Macaca mulatta: one gene and its partners. The protein of the gene in region 4 interacts with the protein of the main gene of each other region in a pairwise test. Links are inferred from orthologs where the notes say so. Each region holds a gene or a part of one and is shown on either strand. Other genes may lie near its edges. The genes, in order: HIP1, STAM2, REEP6, LITAF, UBQLN1 and BAG3.

Region 1 (3,500 bases), on a different chromosome or scaffold from region 4:
GTAAGACCCTATCTCAAAAAGAAAAAAAAAAAAAAAAAAGAAAATACTAGTGTACAGGTTCTAATGCACAGAGTTTCCAAATGTAACTGATCTAGGATGGGGCCTGGGCACCCGTAAGCTAATGCTGACATGCTGTGGGGCTGAGAGCCCCTGAGCTAAGTCTCACATGAGATTCACCATCAATAGAGGGTCAGGCTGTAAGCACCTGGCCCCTGCCAGCCGGGCAGTTGCAAGTGTACCTGCAGACCCAGCGCAGCTGATGAGAGGAGGTTCTTCAAGCTGGTTCAGGGCGTCTTGTATCACCTGCTCCGCAGCCTTCCTGGACCCCACCAGAAGCATTTTTCGTTGGTCTTTGGCAAGCTGGCACATAGATTCCTAAAAACGGTCCAGGGAGGTGAGAGTCTGCCCTAGACTCCATCATGAACCTGAGCAGCATGACCTGGCTGGGGCTCCTAGCATCTCAGCTCAAGTCATGGCCAATGAGGTCCAAGCCAGTAAGCCTGAGACAGAGAAAGGCGCTTTAGCTGTGTGCACGGGGTGTGTGGCCGCCCACGGAGGCTGTGCGGAGGGATCACTGCACCCCGTTCTCATGGCTGGGAGGGAATGCCAAACTTCCCTTCTGATACAAAAAAGACAGCACTCTGCTTTCCCTCATGCGCTCTGCAGGCAGTGCAGGGCCTGCTGGCATCACACCTACAGAATGTCTGCACAATTGGGCCAAGGCCCCAAACTCCTTCTCAGCAGCCCTGGGGTCCTCCTGGCCTCCGTGCATGCGCAGAGGCCCTCAGTGGGAGTTCACAGGCGCTTGCTTGTGTCTGTGTCTGTGACTTGCCTCTGTGCTGGCCAGTTTGAGCTGAGTGTCCTGCAGTTCTCTCCGAAGAGCGGATAATTCCTCGTCTCTATGAGCTGCGCCGCTCACCAGGCTGTCCCGCTCCTTCTCTAGCTCGGCGATCTGGGCTGCCCAGTTTGCTTCTGACTGCAAAGGTGACCACAAGGAAAGAGGGAGACACTGGTTGAGTTAAACAGTCCCTATTTCTCAGAGGTCCAACCCATCACCTGGCTACAAGGACTGGGAAAGTGATAGCTCTTTAATCTGCCACTCTGATTCCCTCTCGCACTGATTATAGCTGGGGCCGACTTGGCAGGTTAAGGATGGTGGATGACAGCAATGCCAAAGCCAGGGGTGGGGCAAGAAAGGAGGCCGGGCGTGGAGGCTCATGCCTGTAGTCCCAGCACTTTAGGAGGCCGAGGTGAGAGGATCACTTGAGCCCTGGAGTTTGAGACCAGCCTGGGCAACATAGTGAAACCTTGTTTTTACCAAAGAAATACAAAAATTATCTGGGCGTAGTGGCTTGTGCCTGTAGTCTCAGTTACTTCGGGGGAGCTAAGTGGGGAGAATCACCTGAGCCCAGGGAGGTGGAGGCTGCAGCGAGCTGAGATCACACTACTGCATTCCAGCCTGGGTGACAGAAGAAGACCCCATCTCAATAAAAAAGAGAAAGGCGGTATTTACCTGGGCAGAAGTTTCCAGGCTGCCTTGGAGAACCTGAAGCTCCCGTTGGCTTGTGGCGAGTTCTTGCTTCAAGCTCTCTAGAACTTCCAGCTGTTCTTGAGTCTGAAAGAGAAGAAAAACAGAGGGACTCTGATCTGGGTGGTAGTGACAAAGAATATAAAAACGTAAACATGTCCCAAGCGATCAATAAGAGATCTGTAAACTCTACTGTATGTAAGTTACACCACCCAAAAAAGTGCAGGGTGTGGGAGGAGGAGGCGAGACCCCAGAGTGTACTGAAAATGTGGAATGTCAAGGAAGGAATTTTTATTATTTATTTATTTATTTATTTATTTATTTATTTATTTTTGAGACAGAGTCTCACTCTTGTCGCCCAGGCTGGAGTGCAGTGGTGCAATCTCGGCTCACTGCAACGTTTACCTCCCAGGTTCAAGCAATTCCCATGCCTCACACTCCCGAGTAGCTGGGACTACAGGCGCCCGCCACCCTGCCTGGCTAATCTTTATATTTTTGGTAGAGACGGGGTTTCACCATGTTGGCTAGGCTGGTCTCGAACCCCTGACCTCAGGCGATCCTCCAGCCTTGGCTTCCCAAGGTGCTTGGATTACAAGTGTGAGCCACTGTGCCTGGCCTCCAGGAAGGAATTTTAGAAACATTTCCCAAATGTCATGCTTAAGTCCATAATACTAAAGGCAAACTGGGTCTTAAATTCAGGCATCCCAACAGCTGGTATATGGCTGAACTACAGCACCTCGCCATTCCCAGATGACTCTCTTTCTTTGATTTCTTGATGGTGTTTGTCAAAGGGTGGGTTGTGACTCCTTAGTAAGAATTCACAGCTAACATTTAAAAAAATGGATTAAATAGAACAGAAAATAGCCAAATGAATTCACGTAGTAAGGATAAGTATTGCTTGGTGAAACTTACTTGTATTTCCATGAGATAGATGTAGTTTTTTATGTGGGGTCACAGAAAAGTGTGAAAGTCACTCCTCTAAATCTAGGACATTTGGTTTGATCTGTCCCATATCTCTAACTCCACCTCTAAGCCTCCAATCTGCCTGTCGGTCCTGCCCCAACACAGTGGTGTTCTCTGTTTTTTTTTGAGATGGAGTCCCGCTCTGTTGTCCAGGATGGAGCACAGTGACATGATCTCAGCTCATGCAACCTCCGCCTCCTGGGTTCAAGCAATTCTCCTGCCTCAGACTCTCAAGTAGCTGGACTACAGCCATGAGCCACCATGCCCGGCTGATTTTCTTGTATTTTTAGTAAAGATGGGGTTTCACCATGTTGGTCAGGCTGGTCTTGAACTCCCGACCTGAGGTGATCTGCCCGCCTCAGCCTCCCAAAGTGCTGGGATTACAGGTGTGAACCATTGTGCCTGCCTCTTTTTTTTTTTTTTTTTTCTAATAGAGACAGGTCTCACTCTATCGCCCAGGCTGGGGTGCAGAGGGGCAATCATAGCTCACTGCAGCCTCAATCTCAAACTGGGCTCAAGCAATTTTCCCACCTCAGCTTCCCAAGTAGCTAGGATTGCAGGCATAGATGCTACTACACCTGGCTAATTTTTACTTTTTTTTTTTTGTCTTGCTCTGTTGCCCAGGCTGAAGTGCAGTGGCACGATCACAGCTCACTACAGTGTCAAACTCCTGGGCTCAAGCAATCCTCCTGCATTGGCATCCCAAGTAGTTGGAACTACAGGCATGCATTACCATGCCCAGCTAATTTCTTAATTTTTTTTTTTTTTTTTAGATGGAGTCTTACTGTCACCAGGCTGGAGTGCAGTGGCATGATCTCTGCTCACTGCAACCTCTGCCGCCTGGGTTCAAGTGATTCTCCTGCCTCAGCCTCCCAAGTAGCTGAGACTACAGGCGCCCGCTACCATGCCCGGCTACTTTTGTGTATTTTTAGTAGAGACGGGGTTTCACCATGTTGGCCAGGAGAGTCTCGATCTCTTGACCTCATGATCCACCCGCCTCGGCCTCCCA
Region 2 (3,500 bases), on a different chromosome or scaffold from region 4:
GTACTTTTGGGACATAAAAGTTAAAAAAGCCCAGTTGCTGGATTTATGGGATTAACTTCATCCTGAAGGAACAAATGAAAAAGAGTTCAACTGAAAATCTGCTTTAGTCACACACGTGATGAAAGCCTTGACACAATAGGGATACATGATAACAATGTTTAGGTGAGTTATTTAAGGAATTCCTGTAGGAGTTCTATATGTATGGGAACTTTTAAATAATGAAGTAGATAACACAATAGATAATATAACAAAAAAGTCTTTGAGTCATATACATATAAATATAATAGGCTAACAAATGAAAAAAGTGAATATAAAAAGTGCTTTTGGGGAGGTGTGGCAATTAGCTGAACTATATGTTAGAAATTTAGAAGAGTGATGAAAGCATTTGTTTTAACATGAAAACTTTTCATAGTACATTCACATGTTTATACTTTACATATCATGTTAGATTTTTTTCAGAATAAGATTTTGCTGTCTGAAAGCTAAATCTGTCTTGAAGAAATGGAAAGATCTGGTATACGTCTCTTGTTTGTTGACAGACTGTGAAGTGGTTTGTCTCTTGATTTTGGAATACACAACATTTGCAACATACTTTTTTTTAAAAGTTCTATGAGCCTATAAACAAAATATTGTGTACAATCATTTTATAGATTTATTCCTTTAATAACATGAAATTTCCAGGATTTTAGTTTAATTTATTTTTATTTTATACTTACTTTATTTTATTTTGAGTCAGAGTCTCTCTCTGTCATCCAGGCTGGAGTACGGTGGCATGACACAGCTCACTGCAGCCTCCTGGGCTCAAACAATCCGCTTGCCTCAGCCTCCTGAGTAGCTAGGAGTACAGACACACGCCACCATGCCCAGCTAATTTTAAAATTTTTTATAGAGATGAGTTCTTACTTTGTTGTCCAGGCTGGTCTCAAATTCCTGGGCTCAAGTGATCCTCCTGCCTTGGCTTCCCAAAGTGTTGGAATTACAGGCCTGAGCCGTTAAATATAAAAGTATTTGGTTATAGAATAATACCTTAATGTTTGAATTACATTTATCAATAAATACTTAACTGTCTGTCTCTTTTTTTTTTTTTTTTAGAGCGAAAGATTGCCTAAAAGCCATAATGAAAAGGGTAAATCATAAGGTTCCACATGTTGCTCTTCAGGCACTAACCGTGAGTACAAGTCGTGTTATTATTTGACGCAAATTTTAAATGTTTTTAATTACAGTAAGTTAATATTTTAACATTTGTATATTAATTTTTATTTCAATTAATAGCTTCTTGGGGCTTGTGTGGCAAACTGTGGAAAGATATTTCATTTAGAAGTATGTTCCCGTGATTTTGCAACAGAAGTACGTGCTGTGATTAAAAATAAGGTAAATTTTAAAAACAGAAGAAATTTAAGTCATTAAAAAATACATAGATTGTGTGTTGTTATAACTATATGTGGTATTACTAAAGTGTTATAAATGAAGTCATTTTTAGATACATTGAAATGAAATAAACTGTTCTGATATTTGATTTTTTAATTTGTAGCACCAAAAACTCTTCTCCCCAAAGTATATATACTGTAGATAATAGCAAATCCTTTTTGAGGGCCAGTAAGTAGTCATTGCTTTAAGCATTTTACATATACTGTCTTGTTGAATGCTCTTAACTACCCTTGGAGCATTAGATTCTTGGAAATTAGATTCACTTATCATTCTTATTTTATAAATGCAAAAACTGAGACTTAGAAGTAACTTGTCCAAGGTCATGCAGCTAGTAAGTGGAAGAGCCAAGATTTACATCCAAGTTTCTCTGGTTCCATTCTCCAAAACATGGAGGAAATAATCTCTGAATATAAAAGATTTGTTGTCATTATAATAAGACTTAGGAATTGGTGTTAAAAACAGTCATTTTGTATGAAATAGCATGTAAATAGGCATCTATCAATTACTCAACTAGGCTAGAAATTGCTGGACTTTTGTAGATGTTCATATAATTACAGAGAATTTTGATGGTAGTTCTCCTTGTTAAATAATTTAAGTACTTATTTTAACCATAGATTTGTGTTCATTTCCCTTTCCTTTTCCTTAAAAGGCACATCCTAAAGTATGTGAAAAACTGAAATCTTTAATGGTGGAGTGGTCAGAAGAATTTCAGAAGGACCCTCAGTTTAGTCTAATATCTGCAACTATTAAATCTATGAAAGAGGAAGGAATTACTTTTCCTCCAGCAGGTTCTCAGGTGAGAGATTCATTCAGACCCATGGTTGACCCTGTAATAGTTTGAAGGTATGTATATTATGTAAAGACTAGGCAAGGTATGTCTAGATTATCATTTTCCACCTCTACTTCCCAAATGACTCTCTAGCATAGTGCCTTCCTTACATTTAGTAGACATATTAGTTTTTGTGTATTTCTTCCACATATCAGAACCTTGAGAAGTTAATCAGACAAAAATAGTATATTTAATGTTTCTCTAAGTCTGCAGTCATGAAAAAGGCATAGTTGTATGACATAGCCCTTATAGTCAAGAAATTTGTAGCAAATTTGAACGATAGCTTTATACATGTGAAAAATAACTAATTTAGATTGTAAGTGACAAACATAGGATGAGGGGAATAGACTGTATGCTATCTGTCTCAATACTAAAGAGAGAAAGAAGTGACTACCGATTGGAATGGTGAAGAAGGTAAAGAGTTAGAATTTTGAAACTTGAATGTATTACTATTTTGTTAGAAGTGAAGAAGTCACACCAGGAGATAAGTGAAATCAACAAATTCATGGAATTGAGAGGCTCAAGACTTGTTTGTTGAAGAGTGAAAATGCCTAGAGTGAATGCTTTACATATAAGATAGATGGAAATGTAAGACTAGAAATTTATTTGCTGGGAGAGGGGATAGCTTTAGTAGAACCGGGGTGTGGAGGCAGGGATGTTGACTCATGGAGTGGGCTGTTTTTTTGTTTTTTTAGATCTAGGGGAGGAAAATACTATTCCTTGGGTTTTGCTCTCGGTACCTTATTCCCTGCCATTAATATTAGGATATGGGCTAGGGAAAGAGACTATGAGAAGTACTATATTTTTTCTTTTAGATCATAGATTAAGGAGAAAAAAAGATGCTTTTTTTTTTGGAGGCGGAGTTTCGCTCTTGTTGTCCAGGCCGGAGTGCAGTGGCGCAACCTCGGCTCACTGCAATCTCTGTCTCCTGGGTTCAAGCAATTTTCCTGCCTCTGCCTCTAGAATAGCTGGGATTACAGGTGCCTCCTACCACCAGGCCCGGCTAATTTTTTGTATTTTTAGTAGAGATGGGGTTTCACCATGTTGGCCAGGCTGGTCTCGAACTTCTGGCCTCAGGTGATCCACCTGCCTCGACCTCCCAAAGTGCTGGGATTACAGGCATGAGCCACACCAACTGAAAAAAGATTATAACTGACCAGACCTAAGAGTACAAGGTAGAGTTTTGAGACAAAAGTCTTGTAAATAATAAAAAGGAAACATTTTCCTGTTCTGTCCTTTCTGC
Region 3 (4,298 bases), on a different chromosome or scaffold from region 4:
GCGCAGGTCTGGTCCGGGTTAGCTTTATTGGAGCCTCCTAGCAGGCCAGGTGTTTCAGGCACCAGTAGTGCTGCAGGCACGGGGGCCTGTGGTGTGGCCAGCTGCAGGTGATCTCAGTGGTGGACTCCGAAGTGTACTCCAGAGAGGTCCCGGAGTGGCAGGGGACCAGCTCGGGCACTGAGGTGCTGCTGGCAAGCTGTTTCGAGGATTGCTTCTGGCGCTGTCCGCTGGTCTTGGGGGCTGTGTCCTCTGGCTCGCCAGGGGGCTTGCTGGGAGGCTGCGTGGGGACGTTGCTGCTGCTGGGAGACTGGACCATGGGTGAGACCGGGCTGGAGGTGACGTTGGGTGGCTGCAGGGGCCTCGAGGATGGGAGGGCTGACTGGGAGGGGCCGGAGGAAGTACCAGGCAGCTGGGTGCATTGCTGAGACCGCTGGGAGCTGACCCGTGCCCGACGCTGGCCCTGGGCCTTGCCACGGCCAGAGCTGGAGGGCAGCTGGCCCTGGGATTCAGAGCTGGGGGTGGCCGAGGACTGGGACTGGGACTTGCCCGAGGTGGCATTTAAGGAGACCCCCAGGGCCTTGCCTGGACCCGAGGGACTGGCGTGGGCTGCCGTCGAGAGATGCGCTGAAGACGATGTGGAGGCCTGGGAGCCCGGTGCGGCCCCCTCCTCACCAGCCGGGAGGTCCTTGCGAGGCCCGGGGGGCTGCTTCACTTGTCCTTCGGCTGCAGGGTCTGGCTTGGCTTGACTGCAGAGAGAGGGGCAGGCGGGGGAGGGCGGTGAGGCAGGCCTGGGCTCCGCTGACTGCTCACAGGTGGGACTGAGGCTACTGGATGTGAGCATGGAAAGTCGAGGGGCCGGGCAGCCACCCTCAGCAGAGATGGTGTCGACCACACGCACGCTTTCATGGTCACCTATACATAGAGGGGTGCACACAGAGCACGCACATGTGCAGTCACACACACGCTCACACACATACATGCACACGTGGTCACACGCACACACACATGCATGCACACACACGTGCACATACACCTGTACACGTGGTCACACACACATGCACACGTGAGAAACCATGCTCCCTTGCTCACTTATACACACATGGAAACACCAAACATACGCTTGAGCCATGCACACACACACCGTCATGCACATGACAAAACATGCACGCACAATAACACATGTGCAACAGCAAACATACACTCAAACACATGCGCACACACACACACAGCTCCTACCTCCCCCACGGGTTACGTACTGTCAGCTTCCAGGGGAGTGGAGGGCCCGGCCACAGCCGCTGGAGTGACGCCTGCCCGGCTACGGGCCAGCGCCTGCAAGACTGGTTCCCGGAAGCGTGAGAGAGAGAGGCGGACAGTGAGAGGGGGCGGCCAAGATGCCAGACAGTGGGCAGTCAAAGTCAGAAAGGGAGGCAAGGTGGAGACAGGTGGAGACCCAGGAGACGGTCAGAGGCAGCCGGGCGCCTGCAAGCACCCACCGTTCCTGGTTATTCCGGCCGCCGCGTCCAGGGCTCGCCCGCTGAGGTTGTTGACGATTCTGTCCACGGCCCCGTGGTGCCTTAGGAACAGCGGGCGCACGACGCGCTGATACAGCATGAGAGCCCCGTTCCAGGGCCTGGGGGCCATGCAGAACAACAGGAAGGCGCACTGCAGGGCAGGGCAGGAGTTACACACAGCCCCACCCAGCTCTGTGCCCCTGGAGGGGAGAGAGGCTGCACTACCCCACCACATGCCCACCCTGGACAGGAACCGGGTCTCCACCATCAGACACCCTTTGGGGGGGCCCTCCACCATCAGACATCCTATTGGGATGGGCCTGGGTTTTCGCCATCAGACACCCTTTAGGGTGAGCCCTCTACCATCAGACATCCTGTAGGGTGGACCCTCCACCATCAGACATCCCTTAGGGTGAACCCTCCACCATCAGACATCCTATCGGAGCAGGCTTGGGCCTCCACCATCAGACACCCTTCAGGGTGGGCCCTCCACCATCAGACATCCTTTAGGGTGGGCCCTCCACCATCAGACATCCTGTAGGGTGGGCCCTCCACCATTAGACATCCTTTAGGGTGGGCCCTCCACCATCAGACATCCTTTAGGGTGGGCCCTCCACCATCAGACATCCTGTAGGGTGAACCCTCCACCATCAGACATCCTTTAGGGTGAGTCCTCCACCATCAGACATCCTATTGGAGCAGGCTTGGGTCTCCACCATCAGACACCCTTCAAGGTGGGCCCTCCACCATCAGCCCCCGGACAGGGCCCGTTTCCCCAGGGAAAGGACTGAGTCTTCCCCTCCCATCTCCCATCTCCTGGTATTCTTTCCTCCGGACCTCCTGGCCCCAATACCTCCCAGGAATCCCCAAGCCCCATGCGCTCCATGGCTGTACCCGCCCTGGCAGGGCCCACCTTGCCCACGTAGTAGAAAGGGAACCAGGACAGGAGTAGATCGCTGAAGAACTCGGCCAGCCCGAACAGGGCGTACACCACCCAGTAGGTGAGCCACACAGTGTCGTCGTCCTTGCTTGGGCTCTCGATAGCTTTGATTCTGCAGGGAGGCGCAGCAGGGTCAGGGGCTGCCCGGGAGCCCCCAGATCCCCCCACGTGGGCAGCCAGCCGTGCACTCACGAGGCATATGCGGGGTAAACAAATCCGATGAGATTGCACAGCAGAGACGCTCCGTATCCGAACAGCAGATACAGGCTTAGCAGAGTGACGGCTCCTGCGGGAGAGAAGTGGTGGTGTGCTAGGGCCAGGGACCTGCTGAGTCCCCATGACAGCACCCAGGCCTCCTTTCAGTCGACAGAGACTGCAACCTCCTCAGAAGCCTTGGTGATGCCTCTAGGATGTGTCCACTGCCCCCGAAGTGTCTGTGCATCCCCCCATTGTGTCCCTAGGCCCTGAGCCTTGTGCCTGTAACTGGTCAATGTGTCCATGTCCCCCACCATGGTTGAGAGCTCCCCAAGGGCAGGCAGGAGCTTGACACTGGGCAGTGGGGGTGGGTGCAGAATAGCTATCCAATAAAGTGTTTGCTGAGTGAGTAAGTGTAATCTGGCCAGATGTGGTGGCTCACGCCTGTAATCCCAGCACTTTGGGAGGCCGAGGTGGGCGGACCAGGCAGGCAGACCACCTGAGGTCAGGGGTTTGAGACTAGCCTGGCCAACATGGTGAAACCCCATCTCTACTAAAAACACAAAAATTAGCCAGACTTGGTGGCGGGCGCCTGTAATCCCAGCTACTTGAGAGGCTGAGGCGGGAGAATCGCTTGAACCCAGGAAGCGGTGGTTGCAGTGAGCAGAGCTTGAGCCAGTGCACTCCAGCCTGGGTGAGATTCTTTTTCAAAAAAAAAAAAAAAAAAGAATGAGCATAATCTGCAATGATAGGCATCTCGTTCCAGGCCCTATGGGAGGCGCTGGGAAACGAGGCTAATGTTTCAATATAAGGGATGGGTGAAGCCTGCAAGGGAGGCCAGGCTGTCATGAAGACTTGGTTCCAGAGCTGAGAAACGCAACTGTTTCATCCGTTATCTTAGTGCAGGGTTTCTCTGCCTTGGCACTGCTGATGTTCGGGGCTGGGTCATTCTTGGTTGTTTTCGGCGGGGAGGGGAGGTGGCTGTCCTGGACACTGCAGGGTGCTGAGCAGCGTCCCTGGCCTCTGCCCTCTCCATGCCATCAGCTCCCCAGTCATGACGACCACAGATATCCCTAGACATCACCCAGTGTCCCTGGGGCAGGGTGGGGGGCAGTACTACCCCCCCCGTCTTGGAGGCAGCAAACCCCAGCATCTCGGTCCCCCGGGTGGAGGAGAGCCCTTTGGTTGGCTGTGCACTCACCAGCCGGCACTGAGCAAGGCTGTGGCTGCACGGAGCCTCAGTTTCCCCCTTGGTAAGTGGGAATGGTAATGGCCCCTGCCTCTTATGGTTTCAAGTTAACAGAGAGGGCTGGGCACAGTGGTTCATGCCTATAATCCCAGCACTCTGGGAGGTTGAGGTGGGTGGATCGCCTGAGGTCAGGATTTCGAGACCAACCTGACCAACATGGAGAAACCCCATCCCTACTAAAAATACAAAATTAGCCGGGAGTGGTGGCGCATGCCTGTAATCCCAGGTACTCAGGAGGTTGAGGCAGGAGAATTGCTTGAACCCAGGAGGCAGAGGTTGTGATGAGCCGAGAACATGCCATTGCACTCCAGCCTGGGCAACAAGAGCGAAACTCTGTTGCAAAAAAAAAGTAATAACAAGTTAACAGAGAGAACTCCTTTCTGCGCGTTTATTTTTATTCATT
Region 4 (4,159 bases):
ATTCAGTCTCAAAAATAAATAAATAAATCTTAACCAGCCTCACACTGTGACTAGCAGCCCTTGATAAACAATCCACTCTTTTTACCCAGACCCTTTGATAAACTCTGACACCCAATGATAAGGGTAGAGTTTACCTAGCCAGGAAATGCAGGTCTACTCTATAAGACAATAAGCTCGTGAACTGTGTTGACACAAGAAATGAAAATATGAAATAATGCTCGGAAGAAAAAGCTATGTGAAACCATGTTTGAACATTCACAAGAATCAGAAGAGAATCCATTCCGGGTGCAGTGGCTCACACCTGTAATCCCAGCAAATCCCTTGGCTTTCGGAGGCTGAGGCGGGTGAATCACCAGAGGTCAGGAGACCAGCCTGGCCAACATGGTGAAACCCTGTTTCAAAAGACAAAAATTAGCCAGGCATGGTGGCACGCGCCTGTAGTCCCAGCTACTTGGGAGGCTGAGGCAGGAGAATCATTTGAACCCGGGAGACAGAGGTTGCAGTGAGCTGAGATCACACCACTGCACTCCAGCTTGGGCAACAGAACAAACTCTATCTCAAAAAAAAAAAAGAGAATCCAGGGTGATGACAATCATTAAGCACTTCAGTTGTTAAGCTCATATTTTTGTCAAAGCAACTTCCTTCTCTTCCTTTTTACGTTGTTAGAATGCCATTTATGTAACAAATGGATTAGGAGAATATTACTACCTAGAGTTAACTGAACTTAGTAATACTCACAGATAAGACCCTCCTTCCAGAAAAGTAGTATTGAATCATACTTGAGCACTTACGTGAAATTTTTTTTTTGAGGAGGGGCCAGAGTCTTGTTCTGTTGCCCAGGCTGGAGTGCAGGGGTATAATCATAGCTCACTGGAACATCAACCTCCTGGGCTCAAGCAATCCTCCCACCTCTGCCTCTCAAGTAGCTGGGACTACAGGTGCAAGCCATCACACTCGACTAATTTTATTTTCATAGAGACAATGTCTCACTATGTCACTCAGGCTGATCTGGAACTCCTGGCCTCAGGTGATCCTCCTGCCTCCGTAGCTAGGATTACAGGCACAAGCCACCACACCCAGTTCATACATTTTATTAAGTGTTTTTAGGGTTCAAAAATAAGTTATTTGGGCCAGGCTCTGTGGCTCATGCTGATAATTCTGACACTTTGGGAGGCCAAGGGAGGTGGGAAGATCGTTTAAGCTCAGGAGTTAAAGATCAGCCTGGTAACACAGTGAGATCCCATTTCTACAAAAATTTAAAAACTAGCCAGGTGTGGTGGTGTATGCCTGTAGTCTCAGCTATTCCAGAGACTGAGGTGGGAGGATCACTTGAGCCCAGGAGGCCCAGGTTATAGCGAGCCATGACTGCACCACTGCACTCCAGCCTGGGCAACATGGTAAGAAACTGTCTCAAAAAAAAAAAAAAAAAAAAAAAAAAAAGAAACTATGGATCACAGGATGGTCTAAGAATCCAGCTCAAGCGGTCAAAATAACTTGAACACAACAATAAGAATTCACTTTTATCGAATGAGTACTCTGTATTTGGCACACAGAACTTCCTTTCATGTTAACAACCCACTGATATTTGTAAATAGGTACTGGATGAAACCTGTTTTACAAATGGGGAAGCTGAGGCACAAGGAGGTTATGTGAACCCAGGTGGTCTGATTCACGGGTCCCCTCTCTGAGCTAAAGATTTCTTCCAGAACTGCTTGTAATACTGAAGCAGTGACATACCAGGGCACACTTGGGCAGAAGGAAGCACCCAAGGCCAGGGACCATCTGGTTGCTCAAAAGCAGAAGAGCAACTTGCGTTGAGGGTGAGCTGGTATGAAAACACAATCACACACTGCTCAGGACAGTTTCTTCTCCCTGTTCCTACCTCAGCCCTGGCCTCAGGGCAGAAGTTCTGCATCAGACCTTAGGAGGAAGGGTGGGGGCCCTTAAGACACAAACTCCCATTCTCAGAAGAAAGTTGGTTGTGCCTCCGTGAGACATGCCAAATGATTCGTATATGATGATCATGGGAAGATCCTAAACCATACTTCATTATAGAAAAGCCATGAGCCTCACCAACATGGAATCTAAAAGACTGTGTGTGGCCGGGCGCGGTGGCTCCTGCCTGTAATCCCAGCACTTTGGGAGGCCGAGGCTGGCGGATCACAAGGTCAGGAAATTGAGACCATCCTGGCGAACACGGTGAAACCCCGTCTCTACTAAAAATACAAAAAAAATTAGCCGGGCGTGATGGCGGGTGCCTGTAGTCCCAGCTTCTAGGAGGCTGAGGCAGGAGAACAGCGTGAACCCGGGAAGCGGCAGAGCTTGCAGTGAGCGGAGATTGCGCCACTGCACTCCAGCCTGGGCGACAGAGCGAGACTCCGTCTCAAAAAAAAAAAAAAAAAAAAAAAAGACTGTGTGTGGAATTTCAAGGTAAGGGGGTAAAACTGGAACATACTGGCACTTCACTTAGACTCTTTGTCAGAGTCACTTCGGTCACTCTCCTGATTCCCACTCTCCTGACTCCCAGGGTGGAGGGTCAAGGAATGGTAAGGGAGGCCTAGGAGGCCACACGTACTTGGATTGTTATTGGGGATGGGCGCTGCCTGGGTAAAATACGAAGGAGGATTCATGCCCTTCCCATCAGGCCCTGTCACAAGCCCCGTAGTTGGCCCAGGCATGGGAGCTGGAGGCGTGGGGTAATAACTGTTAACAGCCACTGTCTCTTCATAGGATGGAGGTGCAGATGGCGCTGCGGAAGGCCCAGTGGCCGCCTGGTAAGGTCCTGGAACCGACATTTTACCTAAAACAGAAACAGAACATAACAGATAAGAAATTCAATTGATCTCTCCCTCTCTCTTTTTCACCCAAGTCTTCAATTTTCTTTCTGGCAAACAGAAATTCTGAGAAAATGACTTCAATCCAGCTTTGTCCAAAACCCAGGAAGAGGGTTAATGTCCCTTCAAGACCCCAGAATTATTATCTTAATGGATTCCCTAAATAAAAATCAAAAAGTAAATAATTTCTACCAAAAATCACCAAAACCTGGAAAATCCCAAGTGGAAACATCAACCAAATACGAGTTACTTCTTCTCCATATCTTAAACCATTACCGGACAATGACCTATCTTCCATAGCTGATGTTTCTTCTTCTTTTTTTTTTTTTTTTTTTTTGGTTTTTAAACCACTGTGGTTTTCACTAACTGTTTCAGGTAACGGAAAGGATAAAGGCATTCAAAAACCAACCACAAACTATCGCATCGCAAATAGCAAAGGGGCCAGATGCCACAAAATGAACACTGCATGATACTATTTAAATAAAGGTCAGAAATAGGCAAAATGAATTCATGGGGCGGTTACTCTTGTACTGTTGGGAGAGGAAGAAGAATCTGAAAAGGGGCACGAGGGGGCCTTTGCAGGGGGCAGGTCCTGTTCTCGTTCTTCACCTGGGGGCTAGTTACAGCGATATGTTCAGTCTGTAAAAAGCTGAGTTGTACAATTAAAATGTATATACTTTTTAGTATGTGTGTTATAGTTTTTTGTTTTTTTTTTTTTTGAGACAAGATCTCACTCAGGCTAGAGTGCAGTGGTGCGATCTCAGCTCACTGCAGCCTCCACCACCCAGGCTCAGGTGATCTTCCTGCCTCAGCCTCCCACGGACTACAGGCATGCGTCCCTGCGCTCAGCTAATGTCTTTATTTTTTGTAGAGACGGGAGGCTCACTTTAATGTCTAGGCTGGTCTTGAACTCCTGGGCGCAAGTGATCCTCCTGCCTTGGCCTCCCAATGTGTTGGGATTAAAGGTGTGAGCCACTCTGCCCAGCCTGTGTGTTATAGCTTTTTAAGAAGGAAATACACATAGACTGCAGTTCCCATTTTGAAAAATGAGCACCAGAGCAGCCAGGCACACATTTTCTTTTGTGAGGGCAAAAAAAGGATTTCCCTCCAGCCCTGGCAGAGCTGCTGCTCGCCTAGAATTACACCCTGCACCCAGAGTGTGCTCCTGTCTGACGTTCCGTGCTCCAGCAGCCATGGGGCAGCTGGAGGCAGACACAGTGCTGTTCTTTGTGTGACTGTTTTTCTAACTGGGCAGGGTTCAGGCTGCCTTAGAAGAGCCATTCAAATCTGTCTCGGGAGAAATGGGAAACGAGGCTCCAGGGCAG
Region 5 (3,500 bases), on a different chromosome or scaffold from region 4:
GGGCTGAAGCTTTCAGCCCCACCCACCAAGAAAGTGAGGGAAGGGAGCTGGAGATAGAGCTCTATGCAAATTCTTGAACAATAAGATTAAGAAAACTCAACATGAAAAGCATATCTGAGTGTTAGGAGAGTTGTGCGCTGAGGGGACCTGGAACCTTTGAGCTGAACTTCCATGCCCCACATACCTTGTGCCCTTATAATTCTCTGTCAAGATTTGTCTGTTTCTGAGTTGTATCCTTTATAATAAACAGGTAAACGTATAAGTGTTTTCTTGAGTTCCAGGTGCCATTCTAGCAATTATTGAACCTGAGGAGGAGGTCAGGGGAACCCCCAATTTAGAACTGGTCAGTCAGAAGTACAGGTGGCCTAGAACTTGTGACCAGTATCTGAAGTAGGGGCAGTCTTGTAGGACTAAGTCTGCTAACTTGTGAGATCGGATACTAACTGTAGGTAGGCAGTATCAGAAAAGAAACTGAATCTTGGACACAGAGCTGGTGTTGGACAACTGGCTGGTGTCAGAAAAAAACACTCCAGAATATGCCAGCTAAAGGAAGAAATAATAAATACACACACCAGACTATAGTTCTAATAATCTTTCCAAAAGACTAGTTTAAGTTCTATTAACAGGAAGCAGAATTCACCTATAAACTCTGGGTACAAGAGGGCTGATACTGCCAATCAAGGATACAGAAAGCCAGGGAACACTTGGAAATAGATTTCTCTTTGGAGGACTTAAACCAAGGAGAAACCTAACAGAGCAACAGGATGACCAAATGCTTACTTTGGTAATCACAAAGTGTTTACTTTGTAAAATTACATAACCAACCAAATGCATTCATTCCTCACTTACTAAGCACTTTTTATATATGCCAGAGACTGTGCTACACATGTATTGAGAATAAGGCAAAGAGAAAGACATTCTCAGAACTCAATCTAGTGGGAAAGACAGACAAGAAAATAAATGGCTACACAGATGTTAAGTACTTCAGTAAAGAATATTCACAGGATATTATGGTAATATAACCTAAGTGGAATGCCTACTTTCAGAAGAAGAGACAACACTTAATGAGTCTGGAGCATAAATACTTTGCAAGGAAACGTAAAGAAGGTTAGGAGGGGGACTGAATACTAGGCACAATGAACACCATATACAAAAAGCACAGAGATAAATGTATTAATGCATTCTTGAAACCACAAAAACTTCAGTATGACTAACTACAGTAGCAGATTGCAGTGCTCACCAAACATTTCATTTTTGCAGCCTTATTATTTCTTTTGCACTTGGACAGGCCTATGTGAAATGCCAAAGGACTACAAGAAATGGTATGTGCCACTTCTGGTCAAAGTATAGCAGGTTCAACTTAAAACCCTTTAGCTGTCTCTTCTGCCATGTTCCAAACGGTAGAGCTATAATACAGCAGAATGAAAAACGACTTTCATTACCTTGAGTCTCTGAGGGACTATATGGACGGGCACCTTACAAACCGGTAAAAAGCAAGTAGCATGCAGAAAAATGTAGCAAGAAATGAAGCTTTGTTGTAATAAGCCACTGAGTTTGGCTATCTATTATCAAAAGATAATGGATAACAGCACTTCGGGGGATCACAAGGTCACGAGATCTACACCATCTGGGCTAACACAGTGAAACCCTATCTCTACTAAAAATGCAAACAAATTAGCCGGGCGTGGTGGCACACTCCTGTAATCCCAGCTACTCAGGAGGCTGAGGCAGGAGAATCGCTTGAACCCGGGAGGTGGAGGTTGCAGTGAGCCCAGATCACGCCACTGCACTCCAGCCTGGGCAACAGAGCAAGACTCTGTCTCAAAAAAAAAAAAAAAAAAAAAAATCTTCCACAGAACCTCAATATATAAATCTAATACAGGCCAGGCACAGTGGTTCACATCTGTAACCCCAGCATTTTGGGACGCCAAGGCAGGACGCCGTAAGCCAGGAGTCTGCAGCTGCAGTGAGCTATGATGGCACCACTGCACTCTAGCCTCAGTGACTGAGCAAGATCCTGCCTCTCTTAAAAAATAAAACAAAACTAATATAATAAAAGCAAAAGCAGTTTTAGGCTAGGCTGGCTTCCCAGACCCCTTTCCATGTGTTCAGGACAGTTACAAAATAACTAATGCAGTCTGATTCTTTCCTTTTACTGATGAAAAAATTATGATCCAGGGACGCTGGCTTATGATTAATAACCAGCTAACAGAGCGAGATTCCGTCTCAAAAAAATAAATAAATAAATAACCAGCTAATCTTACTCATACTAAATTATGTGGTAGTCAGATCAGGTACACACACACTACATCTCTTTCATTACTAAAAAGAAAGGCACCAACTGATATGTAAGAATATCCATATCCCTACCTATTTCCTTAATATCTACAATTATAGGAATATATAAGTTTTTTTTTTAATTTTTGTTGTTAAAGTGACATAACGTTTTCTTTTCTCATTTTATCTGAAGCTACCCAGGAAGGGAAAGGAGTATTTTTTCCCATCCCTATGGAGATGACTAAAGACACTTACCTAAACCAAAAGGGTTGCTAGTAGCAGAACCAGATGTGGAGTTACTATTAGGAGTTGATGATGTGGTAACATTGCTTCCAGCGGTATTTGTTTGCTGAGCTGAATGATCCTGAGGCCTAGGGAAAATAATTAATCACAGAGTAAGCAGTAGAGCTGATTATTTTTGAAAGAACCACTGAAATCCTGACATCTAGAAATAAAGAGTAAACTCTCAGATGAAATCAAATTATCATTTAATAAAAAGCCTGAGAAAACTAAGCGTTAGGAACAAAAAGTACAAAATAAAATAAAATCCTGCAAAATACAAAATATGCTGCAATTGCCCCTCCTCTCTGAGTATAACGTACATAAATATTTCATTAGTTTTAATCATATTGCTTATGTAACAGAGGGAGATAGATTATTTCATAAGAGGGAAGTCAGTAACCAGTTACACCCACAAAGTTTGACTATATAAAAAACTTCTTTATCTTGGCCAGGTGTGGTGGCTCACGCCTGTAATCCCAGCACTTTGGGAGGCCGAGGCAGGTGGATCGCCTGAGGTCAGGAGTTCAAGACCAGTCTGGCCAACATGGTAAAACCCTGTATCTACTAAAAATACAAAAATTAGCCAGGAGTGGTGGTGCATGCCTGTAATCCCAGCTACTCAGGAGGCTGAGGAAGGAGGATTGCTTGAACCTAGGAGGTGGAGGTTGTAGTGAGCCAAGATTGTACCACTGCACTCCAACCTGGGCGACAGAGTGAGACTCTTTAAAAACAAACAAACAAAAAAACCCACAACTTTTTTATCTATCCCCTTCTAGTTTTTGAGGGTTATGAGCCAGTTTTACTAAGGCCCCTGAAATTCTTGAAAACAATAAAAAGTGAGAGTTCACCAAAAGAAAGTCAATCAATATGATTAATAATTATTACCTTTTTTTTTTTTTTTTTAAAGACAGAGTCTTGCTCTGTCACCCAGGCTGGAGGTG
Region 6 (3,500 bases), on a different chromosome or scaffold from region 4:
CAAAGTGCTAGGATTACAGGTGTGAGCCACTGCGCTTGGCCTTATCTTGGCTCTTATTCATGTAAGTGAATATCTAAAACCTTTTTTAAAATCTCACCCTAATTTCATCAACTGGGAAATAACTAGACTATATTATTTCTAAACTATTCCCAGTTTACAACACTCAATTCCACTATAATGTTCAGTGAGGTGAAATCCTGGAAAGCCTCCCGAAAGGGAACTTTGCATCAGCTCTAAAAGGGAAGTTACCACAAACATGGTTAATGGGGGTAAAAACAGGATGAGATAGTGTTTCACTGATTATGAGAAATACATGGGAATGATTTGGATAAAATATCCCTCTCTCTACAAATGGGCCCCTCCTAGGATTGCTGAATCCGAGTATGGATCTGGTGTGAGACGTAGCTGTCTACACCCCAGCAACCTCCTTTTCCATCAAATCTCTTTCGCCAATCCAGACATCCTCAGCTTTGGCCCTTACCACTCACAACCCAACCACGCACCCCTCCCAGGTTCTGACAACAAGACGGCTGTGTAAGAAGTGACTTTAGAAACACTTTAGAGAGGGTGTTCCACGGCCTGTGCTTTTCAAAAACATCAAGGCTGTGAAAGTCAAGAAAGGCCGAGGAACTGTCCCAGACTGAGGGAAGACTAAAGAGAAGTTGCGTCTAAATGCAGTGCTCATGATCCTTGTTTCAATCCTGGAAGACATCCTGGAAGTGGGGACAAACTGCTATAAAAAAGATTAGAAAATGGGCTGTGCACTGGATAATAATGTTGTAAGAATGTTAAATTTCCTGAATCTTGTAAGTCTGCCACGGTTATGAATGAGAATGTCTTCCTCTTAGGAAAATATTTGCTATTCAGGGGAAAAGGGACATTACATCTACAAATAATTTTCAAACAGTTAAAACACATCACTAATACGAGAGAGAGAAGAAATGACAAGACGAATGCAGACATGTTGACAAACAGTGAACTGGATGAAGTGTATGTGGGACTCTGTATGATTCACACAACTCTTCTATCAGGTTGAAATTATTTCCAAATAAAAAAAATTTTTAAGAGGAGGGTGCTCTATTCCAGCGCCCTGGCCAGTGTGACCATTTGTAATAAAAGAATAACCCATGTTTGTTCACAAGGAGTTTTCCTCTTTAAAAACTGTAGCATTCAGCTGCTGGAGTTGCAGCCACAGGGGGCCCAGGGCTGCTGACTGTTCTGCTGCTAGGCTGCAAGCTGCTCACACTAAATGACATCCTCTTCCAGGAACCTGCACCTCGTGTCTCCACTGGAAGATAACCAGACCCCTGCCTACAACCTTCCCCAGGCCAGCACGGCTTCCAATCCACCATAGCTGGCGGATGCCTCAGCCAGACCACATGGTACCTGATTACACAGGGAGGAGGGGCGTTAAGACATGGGCCCTGTGGTCAGGCTCAGCCCTAAGCTAAAGAGATAAAATGAACACTTCTGAAATACCCAGAATAATCACATGTTGAACTCATACAAGTTGGGAGTCTCTCATTAAGGGACTCATATGAGGAGTCATGAGATGAGAAGGATGAGTAGGCTTCATGGAGGAGACAAAACTGGCTCATCCCTCGGAGGACGGAGAGAACCTGTACTGTGCAGGCATTTCAGGGAGCGGGTTCAGCATGGGCAAAGGCACAGGGGTGGGAATGAGCAGAATGGGCCTGCAGAGTGGAGTGGGTAACTGAGCGGAAGGTGACGCGCTGCCTACGCCCAAGATGAGGCTGTGGCTGCAGTGTGGATGGGGGTGTGAAGAGCCCTGAAAGGGTGTGGTGGGCACTAAGGAACCTGGTCCCAGCTATGTAAGTTCTTCCAAGCTGTTTCTTCTGCCCTAAGTCAGCCGCAATGCACAATGATCAGCCCAGCATAAGCTGCAGAGTGCGGAGGGCCTGAGCAATTGTCCTGAATTTCTGTTAATACCTAGCAGTTTCTCAAATCTCACTTCCCTCCAGGTACACACATGTTAAATAGGCAGGGATAAAGGGGGAACCCAGGGCACCCCACAGAGCTCCTGTAGCCCTGGAGACATACCACCATAACCAGTCTGCTGACGACTAACTTCCCGTACCTGAGGCCTGTCGACCACGGTGTGCACACGGATGGGCGAGGGGGAGTGGAGTGGCGTGCTGCTCCTGGCTGGTGAGCCCTCCCGGCTCGATGCACTCTGGACAGGTGACCTGAATGGGGAAGCTGCCCGCAGGGGCCGGGGCTCCCAGTCATCCCCTTGGATCTTGTGGTATACAGGCTGGTGGGTCTGGTACTCCCCCTGCTGCGCTGGGTAGTGCGTCTTCTGGGCTTGGTGGAAGGAGGGCTGGGCTGCTGGCCGGGTAACGTTCTGCTCGTGTATCACCGGAATGGAGATGTACCCCCGTGGGAGCTGGTGACTGCCCAGGCTGCTCCTGCCGGAGGAAGGCAGGCTAGCCGAAGAGGATGAGGATGAGCAGTCGGAGGCAGCTGGAGACTGGGACCGCTGCAAGAGACACAGGGTAGAGGGCATGACCCCACGAATGAACCCCCTGCCGTGGCATCCTGACCATGCCTTCTGCTGTGCACCTCCTCAGGGCAATCCATATCGTAAGACCTCCTATCTGTAATTTTCAATTTTCAAAGTGTGGGGTTAAGACTGGGAGCTTTGGGGCTGGGCGCGATGGCTCGCGCCTGTAATCCCAGCACTTTGGGAGGCCTAGGTGAGCAGACAACCGAGATCAGGAGTTCAAGACCAGCCTGGTCAACATGGTGAAACCCCATCTCTACTAAAAATACAAAAATTAGCCGGGCGTGGTGGTGGGCACCTGTAGTCCCAGCTACTCAGGAGGCTGAGGCAGGAGAATTGCTTGAACCCAGGAGGCAGAGGTTGCAGTGAGCTGAGATCGCACCACTGCACTCCAGTCTGGGCGACAGAGAGACTCCATTTCAAAAAAAAAAAAACCACACACACAAAACAAAGACTGAAGGCTTTGGAGTCAAGGGGCCTAGGTTCAAATTCCTAGTAATTCAATCATTTTCTAAGCTTCATTCAAAATATAGGAAGAGTGGGCTGGGCGCAGTGGCTCACGCCTGTAATCCCAGCACTTTGGGAGGCCGAGGTGGGAGGATCACAAGGTCAGGAGATAAAGACCATCCTGCCTAACACAGTGAAATCTCATCTCTACTAAAAATACAAAAAATTAGCCGGGGGTGGTAGTGCACGTCTGTCGTCCCAGCTACTTGGGAGGCTGAGGCAGGAGAATGGCTGAACCTGGGAGATGGAATTTGCAGTGAGTCGAGATCGTGCCACTGCACTCCAGCCTGGGCAACAGAGCGAGACTCCGTCTCAAAACAAAAACAAACAAACAAAAAAACAAAATATAGGAAGAGCACCCCCTCCCTCACCGGGCTGCTCTGAAGATGACGTCAGTCACCTGGGCATGTGCCTCAGCCCCAGGCCAGCACACAGGAAGCGCTCATACAGGGGATGTGTTGTCCTCATT

Evidence for each region.
Region 1: the proteins of LITAF (region 4) and HIP1 interact in binary tests that used the Homo sapiens proteins (3 or more experiments, as listed by UniProt). The link is inferred for Macaca mulatta from reciprocal best matches to the Homo sapiens genes LITAF and HIP1.
Region 2: the proteins of LITAF (region 4) and STAM2 interact in a two-hybrid assay, tested with the Homo sapiens proteins (4 studies listed by BioGRID and IntAct). The two-hybrid records come from large-scale screens. The link is inferred for Macaca mulatta from reciprocal best matches to the Homo sapiens genes LITAF and STAM2.
Region 3: the proteins of LITAF (region 4) and REEP6 interact in binary tests that used the Homo sapiens proteins (3 or more experiments, as listed by UniProt). The two-hybrid records come from large-scale screens. The link is inferred for Macaca mulatta from reciprocal best matches to the Homo sapiens genes LITAF and REEP6.
Region 5: the proteins of LITAF (region 4) and UBQLN1 interact in binary tests that used the Homo sapiens proteins (3 or more experiments, as listed by UniProt). The two-hybrid records come from large-scale screens. The link is inferred for Macaca mulatta from reciprocal best matches to the Homo sapiens genes LITAF and UBQLN1.
Region 6: the proteins of LITAF (region 4) and BAG3 interact in binary tests that used the Homo sapiens proteins (3 or more experiments, as listed by UniProt). The two-hybrid records come from large-scale screens. The link is inferred for Macaca mulatta from reciprocal best matches to the Homo sapiens genes LITAF and BAG3.

What each region holds. Positions count from the first base shown.
Region 1 is NC_133408.1:50,694,224-50,697,723, reverse strand, and holds part of HIP1 (huntingtin-interacting protein 1), read right to left. Parts: intron 3,083-3,500; exon of another isoform or gene 2,094-3,082; intron 1,616-2,093; coding exon 1,514-1,615; intron 977-1,513; coding exon 833-976; intron 376-832; coding exon 240-375; intron 1-239. UniProt on the Homo sapiens protein: Plays a role in clathrin-mediated endocytosis and trafficking. Involved in regulating AMPA receptor trafficking in the central nervous system in an NMDA-dependent manner. Regulates presynaptic nerve terminal activity.
Region 2 is NC_133417.1:57,077,680-57,081,179, reverse strand, and holds part of STAM2 (signal transducing adapter molecule 2), read left to right. Parts: intron 1-1,092; coding exon 1,093-1,168; intron 1,169-1,272; coding exon 1,273-1,371; intron 1,372-2,077; coding exon 2,078-2,224; intron 2,225-3,500.
Region 3 is NC_133424.1:2,181,405-2,185,702, reverse strand, and holds the end of REEP6 (receptor expression-enhancing protein 6), read right to left. Parts: intron 2,738-4,298; coding exon 2,644-2,737; intron 2,564-2,643; coding exon 2,425-2,563; intron 1,663-2,424; coding exon 1,494-1,662; intron 1,338-1,493; coding exon of another isoform or gene 1,257-1,337; intron 747-1,256; coding exon 709-746; 3' UTR 501-708; downstream 1-500. UniProt on the Homo sapiens protein: Required for correct function and survival of retinal photoreceptors. Required for retinal development.
Region 4 is NC_133425.1:12,701,297-12,705,455, forward strand, and holds the start of LITAF (lipopolysaccharide-induced tumor necrosis factor-alpha factor), read right to left. Parts: upstream 2,801-4,159; 5' UTR 2,796-2,800; coding exon 2,576-2,795; intron 1-2,575.
Region 5 is NC_133420.1:114,608,009-114,611,508, forward strand, and holds part of UBQLN1 (ubiquilin-1), read right to left. Parts: intron 2,649-3,500; coding exon 2,533-2,648; intron 1-2,532. UniProt on the Homo sapiens protein: Plays an important role in the regulation of different protein degradation mechanisms and pathways including ubiquitin-proteasome system (UPS), autophagy and endoplasmic reticulum-associated protein degradation (ERAD) pathway.
Region 6 is NC_133414.1:131,769,942-131,773,441, reverse strand, and holds part of BAG3 (BAG family molecular chaperone regulator 3), read right to left. Parts: intron 2,501-3,500; coding exon 2,099-2,500; intron 1-2,098. UniProt on the Homo sapiens protein: Co-chaperone and adapter protein that connects different classes of molecular chaperones including heat shock proteins 70 (HSP70s), e.g. HSPA1A/HSP70 or HSPA8/HSC70, and small heat shock proteins (sHSPs), e.g. HSPB8.